Linked DNA regions of Medicago truncatula. The protein of the gene in region 1 interacts with the protein of each later gene in a pairwise test. Links are inferred from orthologs where the notes say so. Each region holds a gene or a part of one and is shown on either strand. Other genes may lie near its edges.

What was found.
Region 2: the proteins of cleavage and polyadenylation specificity factor subunit 2 (region 1) and flowering time control protein FY interact in binary tests that used the Arabidopsis thaliana proteins (3 or more experiments, as listed by UniProt). The link is inferred for Medicago truncatula from reciprocal best matches to the Arabidopsis thaliana genes CPSF100 and FY.

Annotation. Positions count from the first base shown.
Region 1 is NC_053042.1:20,055,629-20,063,564, forward strand, and holds the start of cleavage and polyadenylation specificity factor subunit 2, read left to right. Parts: upstream 1-4,927; 5' UTR 4,928-5,107; intron 5,108-6,750; 5' UTR 6,751-6,763; coding exon 6,764-7,178; intron 7,179-7,255; coding exon 7,256-7,382; intron 7,383-7,470; coding exon 7,471-7,586; intron 7,587-7,813; coding exon 7,814-7,908; intron 7,909-7,936. UniProt on the Arabidopsis thaliana protein: CPSF plays a key role in pre-mRNA 3'-end formation, recognizing the AAUAAA signal sequence and interacting with poly(A)polymerase and other factors to bring about cleavage and poly(A) addition. Required for antisense-RNA-mediated gene silencing.
Region 2 is NC_053049.1:14,642,374-14,650,009, reverse strand, and holds the start of flowering time control protein FY, read right to left. Parts: upstream 3,008-7,636; 5' UTR 2,842-3,007; coding exon 2,538-2,841; intron 879-2,537; coding exon 787-878; intron 666-786; coding exon 597-665; intron 154-596; coding exon 49-153; intron 1-48.

The DNA of each region.
Region 1 (7,936 bases):
GCCGAGGAATGCTTCCGTTTGGTGGAAGATTTAGTGAAGCTAGAAGACTTTGGTGGAGCACAAGGTTGGTTCAATTCGGAGGTTTTCCGGAAAGTAGGTAATGATTTCAAAACTAGTTTTTGGAAGGATATTTGGCGTGGAGGAGGGAGTTTTGCTCAAAAATATCCTAGACTTTTTTCAATTTCAACCCAAAAGGAGGCTACGGTGGGAGAAATAGGGGCGGCTTCGGGGGTAGGAACGGATTGGAATTTTAATTGGAGAAGACAACTCTTTGTGTGGGAGGAGGAGTTGTTTACTAGCCTTCGGGAAGATTTAGAGGGTATGGTTTGGTCTAATGAGGAGGATGAGTGGAGATGGAAATTAGAAGATAATGGTTTTTTCTCGGTGAAGTCGGCATATTTGAAGTTGGAGGGAGTGGTGTTGAAGGAAGATTTGTGGGATGAAGAGGAAAGAGGGGTGTTTGATCAATTATGGAAGAGTCCAGCGCCGTCGAAAGTGATTGCATTTACTTGGAAGGTACTCCTTAATCGTATCCCAACTAGAGTTAATCTTGCCTTGAGGAATGTTCTACCACCGGATGCCTCAAACTTGTGTGTGTTGTGTAATTTGAAGGAAGAATCGGCCATACATCTTCTCTTGCACTGCGAAGTGGCGTCTAAGGTGTGGCTAAATATTATGTTGTGGTTGGAGGTCTTGTTCTTAATTCCATCTAATTTCTTTGTGCATTGGGAGTGTTGGAGTGTGGGGAAAGAAATAAAAAAGTAACTAAAGGACTATGGTTAATTTGGCACACAACCATGTGGACTTTGTGGAAAGCGAGAAATGACAAAATCTTTAAGGGTATTAGTAGAGTGGTGGATGACATAGTTGAGGAGATTAAGGTTTTGTCTTGGAGATGGATGTTGAATAGGACGAATAACCCGCCATGCCTTTTCTATGAATGGTGTTGGAATCCAAGATATTGTCTTGCTAGATGATAGTTTGGTCCTTGGGTGCGGTGTATTTCGTGAGGTAGAAGCTTTTGGTTTGGGATTCCTATGCAGGTTGGTTTGTGCAGCTTTTGAGGACTTTGGGTGTGTTTCGGTTTTGGATAGTTTTTGCTGTTACTTGTTGGATTTGTCTTCCACGAGTACTGTGAGGCTTGTGTGCAGTTTTGGCTAGTTGGTTTGTGCGGCTGCCACTTTCAATTTTCTGTTTTCATGTTACTTCGGCATCTTGCTGCTGAAGTATATTGATTGGTGAGGCAGGGGTATGCTTGGGTGTCAGTGCTCTTTGGCTTGTCTGCTTGTATAGCTTTGGTGCGGTGCTAGGAGGTCTGTGCGCTACCTGGTTTTGTGGCAGCAGTGCTGTTGTATGTTTTAACAGCTGGGGCGAGACGTATCAGTTGGCTGGTGGTTGTTTGCTTGCCAGGTTTTGGCTGTTATTAGTAGTTTCGGCGGCCTTTGGTGTTGATGCAGGGGTATGCTTGTGGTCTGTCACTTGTATATGCCTGCGTCATTACTCTTGTGGTGTGTTCCTTAGTTTATGGGTGGTTTTTAAAGGGATTTTTGTTCGAGCCGGAGTTTGTATGGCAACTGATTTCCCCTTCTTTGTATTTTTTCTCCACCCGAGCTTATTAGTGCGTCTTGCACGGGCTTGTTGGTTAATAATATTTTGCCGATTCAAAAAAAAAAAACTCTGCAAACACCTCCTTCATTGTTGTTATTTGTTGGAAGTATAAATTCAATGCAGCTTTTTGTTCTTACTTAACTTACCTTAAAAGTTTTAGGGAACATGCAATAGTCTGTCTATGCACATTTGACAACTTTGCCCATGAATATCTCATGGTTCATTGACAGTACACTCAAACTTTTATCAGCAACCTGTGATGTTGCAATGAAGTCAGCGACAATATATAAATTTTCAGAATGAATGGCACCAGTTATTCCAATAAACTCAAATGAGATTTATAAATTGCATTTTCCCCCTTTATCACATTTAGCAGGCACAAACGAGGTAAAACACTTCAAACATTTTGGCTAGATCCAAACTCAAAACATTATTGATGATATGATGCTATTGTATAAATTAAGCATTGTGTCTTAAGAATGGTTTTTGGGATAAAGAAGGGTTATGAGATTCCTATCTAAGCAGAATTGTCTTTGTATGTACAAGGTGGTTACAAGTTGATGAAAAAAGTTTTTTTAAGTGCAATTAATTTGATAGATTTCGCGTAAAACACAGGTTTACCATAGTTTTTTTAATTGAATTTTTTAATAAATTTCATCAAATAGTGAAATTACTGTTGTATATTAGTGACGTTTTATAGATTTCATGAAATTTTAAAAAATCATTTTTACTAAATTTTGTATCTTTTTTTCTTTCTTTCTTCTAAGCAAAGATGTAGGGACGACATCAAGAGGCAACATAAACGTCCAAACTAGGTTGGTACCCAACTAAAACCTCTATTATCTACCACATACTCTATAAATATTATTAAAAAAAAAAGAGAAAATAATATGTACAAGAGGGGGGGCTAGGCCAAGATCCTCAGAAAGAATAAGCGTGCAACCATGAAACTAAGGAAACCGATAGTTCAACAACTTATACGATCACGGAAAAAATCAGCCAACAAAGACGAAGGCATGGAGTCTAACCAAACAGTACCCACAACCGCATGTCCATACTCAACTAATTTATCTGCACAACAGTTTCCCTCACGATAAATTTGAGAGCATATAGCCTGGAGACCCAAATGAAAACAGTTATGCCAATGGTTCCGAAGACGGAAAGGAACAATATCAGCATTCTTAAAGGCCTGAACCGCAGAAGTCGAATCACTTTCTATCCAAATATTGTGCCAAGAATGAGAAGCCACATATTCCAAAGCAAGAATAATACCTATCAGCTTCGCCTAAAAAGCAGACAAATCACCAAGATTGCTTGCAAAATCACCAAGATTTCTATCCAAATATTGTGATATGATATATGATGATGTTTATACAATGATGATATGACAATGTTGTTGATTTTATTTGTCGAGTCATGATGTGATGTTCATGCATTCATGGTCTGTCCTATTTGACGACGAATATTTGACGATGAGTGGATTAATCAGTAATATGCTTATGATTATCCAAATATTTGACGATGAGGTATCACTCAAATACATACCTCTGATATTCAAAAACGGTACCACATGCATATAGAGTCAAGTTAGGGACATTACATGTGAGTCTATGCGAAAGATGTGTACTTGACTATGTGTGACTATTTGAAAAATGTGTGATTCGACAATGGCAATGATGTGTGAATGCAATGTGTTCAACTTGACGATTATTTGATGATGTGATTACATGTTTATAATCTTGTGATGATGATTGAAGTTTGTTATACCGACTTAGTGAATTGTATGAGAACTAATATAATATGAATATACATGTTTATAATCTTGTGATGATGATTGACATTTGCTGCGGGTTGGACGTATAGTTGCTGTGAGTTTTCGAGGATGGCTTTGAAGCATTCTTTTACCGCTTCCTTTTGGAGTCTTGACTAGTGGTGCTCTTATTAGGACTGTTGGGATTTTATTTATGTTATTAGATTATGTTTTGAGGATGTATTTTTCGATGTGACGTGTTATTTACATGATGAACTATGTATGGATTGTAACGAAGAGTAACACCTTGAAGGACAGAATCAGTATAAATTGATTTGTGTCTTTCTTCTCTCTCTGACTCTTTATCTTTAATCTGCATGTTATTTATTTCCGCTGCATTCAGACTCTGAGTCAGAATATGAAACATCAGATTTTGTCCAGATTTGTTCTTAACACCTTACAAGAAGAAACGACTCACACAATTCAACCCACCTTCTTGTGTGTTTTTCTCACCTTCATGATGTAGATGACAATATTGGAAGAAAAAAAAAAGGATAAAAAAATGGAACAATTTTAAACCATCACATGATAAATTTTGGACCATTTTACCCATTGAAATTTTTTTGGTTAAACTGTAAAAAAAATAAAAATTAGGAGGGGACAGTTATATAAATGAAGAAGTTGTTAGATTGGCTCCGTCTACGATGGGAGACTTGAATAGGTCTTCTAATATAGGAGACATGGTTTTTTTCTTCCTTTAAAATGAATATGAACCATATGATAAGGGTTGGATCAAATTCCTTAATATACATTTCCATCACTCAACTGCTTTCTTTTATTTTAAATTAGTGTATTTATCTGACGTTGTTCGGTTTATACTTATAATTAAGGACGACCAAAATTTTGTATGCAACGTATCTGCATATAAATTTACCACGAGCTGGTATAAGACCAATATCTTAATGAGTAAGCACGAATAAAAAAAAAAATTCATATTTTAAGTACTCGTAAATTTATAGATGCACATGCAGATGATATTTATAGAATTTAGTAAAAACAAAAATTGACACATTGGATTTAGTAAAATTATTAACACATGTAAAATAAAATAAATATTTTTTAAGTTCATGGACTCGTATAAATTTATACTCGTTATTAAATTAGTAAAATTATACGACTGCCGTATTACTTAAATAAAAAACTTCTCGTCATGAAATAAAAATATGTAATTTTGTAACAAAACTTATTTTTCTATCTAGCATAAACATCTCAACAATCCACATCGGCTTCGTCCAAATATTTTATATGTTTGTTTTTATTTCATGAGAAGATTTTTATTTTATATAAAATATAAAAATATTTATTTTATTCAATATGTGTTACAAATATTTTAAAGGAATATGTGTAACCAAAAAAAGAGGAATTGTTGTGACAACCACTTTTCACCTCATTTTATTGGATAAAAACAATAGAAAGAAAGAAGAAGAGAAATAATAAAAATATATGTAAATATAAGAAAGATGTTGTTTCAAAAGTTGTCAAAAAAATAGATGTACAAATATTGTTTCTCAATATTTTATCACCAAGTTGAATTCTCTCGGCTCTTTTTCCATCAGAAACGAGCACTGAACTCAAATAGCCGGAGTTGCTTGTAGCCGCCGGCGATCACATCTCTCACGGCCAAGTCCACCGCTCTATATTCATCTCTCACTCACTCAACCTTCATTTTCGTTTTATTCTTCCAATCAAGTAAGTTCATCGATTTTGATTTTGGGTGATTTTTTTCTTTCTCAAATGCAACTTTTGTTGTTGAGTTAATGTGGATTTTTATGCGTTATTTATGCATTGAAAAGATTAGATTTCATCTATTGGCTTAGGATGAATGAATTTTTGCATGCATTTCACTTGTTGCCTTTTAGGTGTTTGATAAATTGTCCTAAGTGGTGTTATGTGAATCTTTGATAGAGTAGACTGAATTTTTTGTAATCTTGTGTGGCTGTGAAGATAAATACACTAGAATAAAAGAAAGTAATTGAGTGTTGAAGATATATAATAAGTATTTTGATCCAACCCTTATCTAAGCAAAGTGAATTCGGTAATGCTGCGGAATAACACATCGGCTGAGTTCATTTTCGCATTGTTACAAGAACTGTCTCATGCTCAAGCTGAGCTATTTGCTTCGGTATTGTGGAGTTTGTGGAAAAGCCGTAACCTACAACTATGGCAGAATGAAGTAGAGACATTGCAGGCCATTGTTGCACGCGCACAGAAGCTGTTGGTCAACTGGCGTGTAGCAAACAGCAAGCGACAGCAAGGTGGAATGACTGGCAGGTCTGCTGATCCGATTACAGATGTGCAGCAGTCAAAATTTGTGTCCAGCAGTGTGCAGATTGGGCAGAATCGATGGCAGAAACCAATCATGGCAGGCTAAAGTGCAACATTGATGCGTCGTTTTCGGAAGCTTTAAATTGTGTAGGATTTGGATTCTGCATCAGGAATGAATTTGGAGAATTTATTCGAGCAAGAACAATGTGGTCGAATCCTGTTTGTCCGTCGGATGTTGGAGAAGCTTTGGGACTTTCATACGCCATCCGTTGGGTGCATGAACTGCAACTCAATAATGTTGATTTTGAATTGGATGCCAAGACGGTTGTAGATTATTTTAATTGAGGTTGCAATGATATATCCGAGTTTGGAGCAATAATTGACGAGTATCGGAGAAATCGTGATATGTATCTAGAAAACTCCATGGTAGAGTTTAGTCGGAGACAAGCGAATGAGGTCGCTCACACTCTTGCACGAGAGGCCACTTTCTTAGCTAGTCCCCATACTTTTAATGATGTACCTCATTGTATTACGACGTTGATTTTTAATCAAAAGCTATAAGCTATTTTCCTTCAAAAAAAAAAAAGTATTTTGATCCAACCCTTATCCAATGGTTCATATTCATTTAAAAAAAATGTCTCCTACAGCCCTACCGTAAACGGAGCCCATTAGATTTCATATAGCCACACCTGATGATTATTGCCCGATTTTTTAAAAATAAAAGAAAAAAATCAAACGACACTGCATACTCTCTTCTTCTCACTCTCTCTTACAACCAGTGTGTCACCACTAGTCACAGCTAATTCTCTCTCAGTTGTCATTATTCACTCTAAGGTAAGCCAATTGATTTTCCAATTTCTTGTTTTAGTGTTTCAAAATTGGGAATTGGAAATGAAATTTTGTTATGACCAAGTTGTTTGTTAGTTAGAATTGGAATTTCGGAATGTTAAAAAATTGATGCTTTTGTTTCATGTAATTGGATTGGATATCAGCTGTTTGTTCAAATGTCTGAATGCATTTTCCTTTTTGCTTCATATCGGTTTTTATGTTATTATTTTGACACACAGAAGAAGGCAGATCATGGGAACATCAGTGCAAGTAACACCACTTTGTGGAGTTTACAATGAAAACCCTCTCTCTTATTTGGTTTCCATTGATTCTTTCAACATCCTCATCGACTGTGGTTGGAATGACCACTTCGACCCTTCACTCCTTCAACCCCTTTCCAGGGTAGCATCAACTATAGATGCTGTTTTACTTTCACATCCTGATACACTTCACCTTGCCGCCTTACCATATGCCATTAAGCATCTTGGACTTTCTGCTCCTGTTTATTCAACTGAGCCTGTTTATAGATTGGGACTTCTCACTATGTATGACCACTTCCTCTCCAGAAAGCAAGTGTCCGACTTTGATCTCTTCACTCTAGATGATATTGATTCTGCTTTCCAAACTGTAACAAGGCTAACATACTCTCAGAATCATCATCTCTCAGGTAACAATAACATAACACCTTCCTCAATTTATTATGTGTTTGTTACCATCAATGACATTCATTTTAACCAATACTAGGAAAGGGAGAGGGAATCGTCATTGCACCACATACTGCTGGACATCTTTTGGGAGGTACGATATGGAAAATTACAAAGGATGGTGAGGATGTCATATATGCTGTTGATTTCAATCATAGGAAAGAAAGGTAAATTATTTTTTTACTTCTCCAAAATTTAACGTGCATATTCTTAACGACAAGAAAGTAAGCTACTTATCAATCTAATTTTCACTAGGCATTTGAACGGAACTGTTCTAGGTTCTTTTGTTCGCCCGGCTGTTCTAATAACCGATGCTTATAATGCTTTGAATAATCAGCCTTACAGACGTCAAAAGGACAAAGAATTTGGAGGTAACTAACATTTAAATCTTATAATTGCTACACCTTGACAGAAATAAGGTGAATTTTTCATTTTTTGTTTTCTTGAGTTGCTATTAAGAGAAAACTGAAATATTTTTATGCCTGGGATATTCAAAGACAAGGCATGCAAGCATTAAAAAGTCTTCATCACGAAACGAGAAAACTGTCTAGACTATATACTTTGTTTTTTCTGATCATATATCTTGTTGATTATTTAGATATCTTAAAGAAGACTCTAAGGGCAGGTGGCAATGTGTTACTACCTGTTGACACTGCTGGACGAATATTGGAACTTATTCTGATGCTGGAATCGGTCAGTACAAGAAAAGACTTACACTTAT
Region 2 (7,636 bases), on another chromosome or scaffold:
AAACATATGTCAACCACATGTTCACAAGATTTAAATTATATAACTTACAAGAACACAATTAATAGCACAACGATTTTTATTTAGAGATGTATGAACAAATTTAGCAGCAAAGCTTGTGGATGGATTGTCTGAATAGCCAGCTGCTGGCAACATCTGCATGAAAAATAGCATAAGGTTAAAGTATAGAGAAATAGGTTGATTATTATAACAATAGTTTATCAAAAAAATTACCAAGCTGCATTTCTGGAATTAAGGTAAATAGCATTTTCAAATTTAATCTTAAAGATATAATATAAATTCATTCATGTGTCAGTTATCAAAATGCATGAACGCTTGGGACAGTTAGTTCTTAACATGAGGCTCATTGACTAACTGTCTGCTGTTCAACCATTGCGACACCCATTCTTTTAAAAAGTTCAATTCAGTGAAAGGTTGGTGGTGGGTCATTGCTTTATCCACCCCTCAAGCCCAATTTGCATGAGAGGGTTTAAGAAAGATATATAATATAAAGATCGTTCGTGTGAACTCAATTGAAACTTAAGGTTTTTGATAGTTGTTTCGTGACACTTATTAACATAAAAGAGAAGCTCGCTCACATCAATTGCTGCTGCCGGCGTAGGTTGAAGTACTGTCCTATCTCTGGAATCACGCTGTGACATACGAATCTGAAGGAAGATTTCAAATTACCCATGAATTTCCAAGGTGGATTACACACAGATAGAGATGAACAAACCAAACAGATTTCCAACTTAACTGTGATTCTATTATTAAAGCAGCAATCATTACCTGCATATAGCGCACAACTGTGCTCGTATAATCAACTGCCTTCCTTTGAGTGAGCTTTCTCATTCTTTTTGCACCATGGCTATCATTATGAACTGTAAGTAAAACCGTTCACTATTTAATTACAATAGTCAAAATATCCCAAATCATAAAAGTTCAACAAATTTAGCTAAGCTTATAGACAATGGAGAAGATATATAAATATTAATGCCTTGAACTACATGTGAGGGCATAGACATTTTTCTAACATATCAAGACCTATCTCATATATGCGGTAGAAGATAATTTCGTTCTGAATAAATAAAATAATAACTGTTGAAGGGGAAAGAGTAGCAAAATCAAATTATGGATTATCGTCCCAAAGAGCGGAAACAAATATGTTTCAAAAGCAAAAGTTCAACAAATTAGCCTGTCATGTCAACTCAATGCCTACGGAAAAAAATCCTCATAACCGTATGTATGCAAAGGGTTATACAAAAACATATTACTATTTCATCCAAAGAAAATAAGGTTTCAAAGAATTGACTCATACCAAAACACGTACACTAAATTATGGCAAACATTCAACAAACTGCATATTCAGCAGATCCCAATGAGCTTTAAAAGTTAAAACCTCTCACTCTTAGTGGTCATCTTCTCATGACTAAACCATCTAAGGCATTGTTAATACTATTTTTTCTTGGCATGTGCTACTCCGATTTTTTCCCTAATACCCGTCCGTTCCTTATGTTATCTTTCCCTACAATATCCACCTCAACAATTGCATTCTCATCACAGTGATACTTGTATTTTGCTCTTGTCAGTTGTCACCAATCAACTGACAAACAGTTCCCTTCACTCCCACCATATAGCATCACCAGACATACATCCTGTCAAGTACAATTTCCTTTCTATTGATAATCAACCCGTTATCACAAATTACACCTAAAGCATTTTTCTAGTTCAATCACCCAAATTGAATCATAATTCGTAAGCATAATAACATACCCCTTTAATCACCCCCATCATTTTAGAACTTAAATCCATCATACGTAAATCTCCAACTTGCGGGAACACCAACACAATTACCCAAAGCAAACCTCACCTAACCTCTAAAATATTGCTGACTCAAATGCTACTAAACTCGCATCACATTTCATCTACTCCGCCCATCTTACCACCAAACCATTTAATCGCAAACTTTCTGTCCAAAAATCAAGTTCATAATAAATTCACTACTTCACTCCACTCATCAACTAGGAAATTACAATCCTAACAAAATAAAAATAAGATAGAGATACAACTCTTGGATGTGAAAACTTGTGCATTACTTAACCAATCAAACAATTCTTTTAAAATAATAAACAAATAATTAGAAATCACACACACATATACACACCAAAGCACTGTATAAGCAATCACAACAAACTATCATACAAAATAGGCCCTTTTTGTATAAACAGCTTATAGCACAGGACGATATCATGATAATTGATAAGCGCTTATGTATAACCTATTTCTATAGCAAAAGATAAAATTAAATTAAATTGTTTTCATATAAGCTATCTCCATAAGTTATAAAAATAAGCTAAAAACGGCTTACGAACAATGTCATAAATTGTTTTCATAAATTCACCCAAACAATCACACAAAAACTTATGCCAGTAGATAAAATCAAATAAGTCAATCCAAACAGCCCTAACAAGCATATGTGTTCTAATTCAATTCAATTCAATTTCATTCGATAAAAACAACAAAAAGAAGAAAAATCAAACCATCGTAATGAGGAGGAGGACCAGGGGGACCAGGGGGACCACCAGGAAGAAACTCCGATCCGAGATTCGTCGAAGAAGCGGAAGGTTGGCGCATCATAGGCGGAGGTTGTTGAGGCATCGGCGGCGGAGGTCCACGGTGGAAATCCGGACCGGGACCTGACTGCTGCTGCTGCTGCTGATGGTGAAAATGCGGAGGCTGCTGCTGCTGCTGGTGTTGCTGATACTGTTGTTGTTGTTGTTGCTGTTGCTGCTGGTGCTGTTGGTGTTGTTGGTGTTGAGGGTTATGAGGGTCATTGTACATCATTGTAACTAACTATGGTGTTGGAAGAATGAGGATTTGGGATTGAAGAGCAGTGTGGGGAGAAAAACCCTAAACCCCAAAATTGTGGTTGGGATTGAGGTAGAACGATGAATCTGGAGCGGGAAGGAAAGAGTGATGATGAGAGAGAAAGAAAAAACTAACCGCAGACGACGCCGTTTTAATTTAACTACAAATGGATTGTGCGTGCGTTGTAGTTTTTTTTCAACAATTTTTTTTTTACATGGAAAAATTCATCTCATCTCTTTTTTTTTTTTTTTTTTTAAGAAAACATTGCATCTCATTAGATGTCACTACAAGACGTCCACGTGAGTTTAACTCAGTTGGTATAGACAATGCATAAAATATGCAAGGTTCGGGGTTCGAACTCTGACCACCACCAAAAAAAGATGTCACTACAAGACCATAATAATTTGGAGCTAACGTTTAATTGGTCCACGGTGTAAACAATGTTGTTTTAGAAAGCATATAACCCCTGTATACATCTCGAATACGCATAATGATACCAACCTTACTATGGGATGTAAAGAAGGAACCATCAACATTATATTCTTGTCTACGTGGGACTCTGACATTGAACCCTGTTAATAGTACTCGGTCTTGGTGGCAAGTTACGCCGCTTCCAAATACTATAAGAGACTTATGTAAATAAAGAACACTATGACGGTTGAAGTTGATCTAGTAAATACAATACAATTGACGTCTTATTATCAAACTCATTTACGACATTATCTGCAATATTCCTTAGGTTCGCAGCTTGCCAAACTTGCGACGCTTGAGAACAAGTAAAAATAGCATGTAAATAATCCTCGTCAGTATCAATGCACATAACACATTCTGAAGAACATGCAACATCTCTATTGTTGAGTCGTACACGAGTAGGAAAGCAATCACGACATACTCTCCACACAAGGTTTTTCACTTTTGGCGGTACCTTGAGTTTCCATATGGAATTATTCGGATCTTCTCATGTTTGAATAACTTATGAACAGATTCTGTAAGCACTACGAACATAATAGCAATCGTTTTTCTTACATTGTCATACCAAACTATCATTAGTAACTTGCGGGAAAAGAGGTGTATTTAAGATCTGAGTGGCGGTGTGAAGATCAAACAAATAATTAACAAGAGGTTTTTTTCCACAATTTTGATATCTGATCTATTAGTTCACTAACACATAATAGAAAGAAATTGTGCATTACATGTGTGTATGGCCTAATTACTATCACCGGAGGCTAACCAAGGTTGGTCCATCAAAGGGATATTATTACATGTGCCAATAGTGCACCTTGCGTCTCTTTACACCACATCTTTTACACTAAGTATGCTATGCGAAACATAACTCGGTCTGGTACCTATTTTAGCCCCAAAGAAATCAAAAGTTGGAAAATAATGATCCTTAACAGATATGTGACCCAAGCTAGGCTATGCACATTAGACTGAAGTTTCCACACTTGTTTATTGAGCATCGCAACATTGAAAAAGGTGAGGTCCTTGAACCATGTACCACTAAAGAAATTGTGAACTCACAATTTCTCCCATGACATCCAATGAATTCCCCTGTTAGTTGCTCCAACATGTCCCCACCAGAATGCATTCATCATTTTTTTTAAACAACGTCTATCAATGTTTTCGAAAGAAGAAAAATACTCATTACATATGACTTGTAAAACATACTTTATCATTACCTCTTGACCCGCCTTCGATGAGAATTTATTACTCCATGAATTTATTCTTTGCCAAATTTGATCCTTGATGTAGCCAAATGTTGTTTGCTTCTTCTGATCATAGATGGTAGCCCCAAGTATTTGCATGTGCCTAGTTATGCTTGGTAAAGATCCACGATCTTTTTTTTATGTGTATCTTTTTCTAAATAACATGCTGTATTTATTTTTTTTATAAATGGAGAGGATCATTAGAGCATCTTTGCAAACTTTTGCCTTATTGTCAGAGAATCATAAATATTTAACATAAAGTGTGGTGGCTTTAATTTACCAGGTTTCCAACCTTGGCAATGGGGGCCTTCATCCTTTTAAATTTTTTTCAAAAGCTTTTTAATGTAAAATAATGATATAAAATATAGTTTTGGAGTATATTGTGAGATAAGTGGAGTCAATTTTAAAGTTTTGAACGAGTGATATGAATATTAGGTGGAGTCTATTTATACCATAAATATGGTCAGTGGCGTATTCAGGACCTTAGGTCATGTGGTGTAAAAAATTAACTTCGAAAAATTCAATCTCTGAGATACTTTATTTTCTAATAAATATTTTTCCAAATTTTTATTTTTCCTTTGCTCCAAATTATCTAAAAGTATTATTTTGGAACCTAATTGGCCAATTTTATACAACATCGATATCTTAATGGTACACAATGCTATCCACACATCTCTTAGTATTGCTTTAGTAATTTTCCACATATTTTAATTTTATTTTGAGTTGTTTCATATTTTATAATAGGGTTTAAAACTATATGTTAATGAAATTGTGAATAAAAAATAACGAAAAATATCTATTCAAAATTTGATTATATTAAAATGGACCCGCAATGATAGTGTCCATTCCACGCTCCATCATTGTTCTCAATGATATGGCTCACAGCAATACCTTGAGCTTCACTTGGTTCAGCTGTCTTTATAAAAGGCTCCTCAACACACCGCAGCCAAGAATTTCACCAGACTCCTACCATCCCCAATCTACCACTGGTAGCCTTCCTCTAACAACGTTTAGGAAGACCAAATGCTACATCAAACATAACTCGGGTTAGTCATAACTTCCAACCTTGTTTCCCCAACATTGCAAGATTAGGCAATGTAATTAACCATGTAACTATCTTTACTCTCTTAAATAAGATAATGCAACACTACCAAAAAAAAACAAAGATAATTTAATATTGATGATATATACAATGAAACATCTAGATAATATTTTAATTTTTTTTTTAAGCAATAACTTATTTATTGCAATTAATTTCACAACATAGTATATGGATTTTAGCAGACTTACTGATTCTACACAAGTTTTCAATTTTTTAGCTGATTTGGTCTTTTTTTTTTTTGTCTACATTTAGAAGCTTTTCAGCTAGGAATGCCTCTTCTTTACATAGCCTTTTGACAGGATCTTGAGGGTAAGAGAATGATGACTTAGCTATAGTTTATCTTATTGATAGGATCTTCTAGGCATATTTGTATTGTTAGCTACTTAGCATTGCTATTCTGCAGTTTTTATAGTTATCTGTTATGAGTACGCACTAACTTATATAAGCATTGTAATGCTTCATGATTAAAATCAATGAAAAATATAATCAATTTCCTTTCTTTTAGATCCACTTGGGTTGGTCTGATGGTGCTGACTTGCGACCTTAGAATGTGCTCCTTTCAAGGTTTCAGATTCTCCCCGTGCCAAATTTGGTGTGCCAGTTTGAAATTTCAAAAAGAATAATAATAATATTTTCCTTTAAGTCTAACTTCTATCTCTATACTCGAGAACGTGATCCATACTTAAATTGAGGCGTATTAGTTTTGCATCCCATCGAAAATTCTTAAGTCTCTTAGCAATTTTAACGCAACGCAATAATTCTCCAAGCTTTGATCCAAATCCATCTCACAATGACACTATGACTATGAATTTCCAAACATACTTTATGAATTCACAAACTTTATATTTTAAAATTATAATGGTAATAATTCAAAATTGAAAATGTAATTTTGCTTGTTTGTTTGTCAATTCATAATATTTTGTTGTTGTCAGCATTTGGTTACCATGATTTAGTGTTTTATATTGCTGCACACATAATGCTTGGATGTGAAGTTCAGATTATTCATCTCCAAACTTGCGTTCGATATGATATGGCTTTGTCAGGTGTATGTTGCTGCATTTTTTTGCATATAGTCATGAATAATTGTAACATATTTCAAGAACAGACCCAAACTCATCGGTAGATATTACTCCTAAATGGTAGTTGATCCCACGTGGACCAATAACCTATTAGATTAAAATGAAAGCGATGAATGAATAATTCTAACAAAATTTGAAATATTATATAAATTAAACAAAATTCCAGTACTGCATATCCATGTTAGGATGCTACTTATGAAAGACTGAAAAATGAAACATCTCTCAGAGTCACAACACAAAAATGAAACAAATGAACTCTCAAGTATGAACTTGACCTATTATATTTGGTTAGGGAATACAAGCCATATTGCACTTGTCCAAATATGCACTCCATCTTTGAAGACGGTATTCACGAGCTGCCGCAGCCGCATTCACTGCCCTGATAATAATGTCACTACCCCTATCATGGATTACCTAGAAAAATAAAAACATTCGGTGAATTGTCAAGAGAAATAGTACAAGAGTGTGCAAAACAGCACAATAGATTACATGCTTACCATAACCAAGTTATGGCATACCACAATTATCAACCTCAAACAAATAAGAATACAATGAGTTTGGAAAAAATTGGTTTGAATTGCAGATATGAATTAGCAATACAAATGTATTAGCTTTGCCGTGTGAAGCATACCAATAATTCATTTTGTATAATTTCTTTTCTTTTCACCTGTAATGAAAATATTTGAGATTTTAAGTGTTAGCCTCAAAATATTCATAGTCTATGTCAACATTCATTGATGTTTAAATCAAATTGGTATAAGCTGCCAAGACAATATAGTAACAACTCTCATTGATGAAATTTTGTATCATTTTCCTGCTCCACTCTAGCTAGGAGGTGCGGTGCAATCAGAAGTATTCAAGGTAATTAGTCAAATAATGCGTAA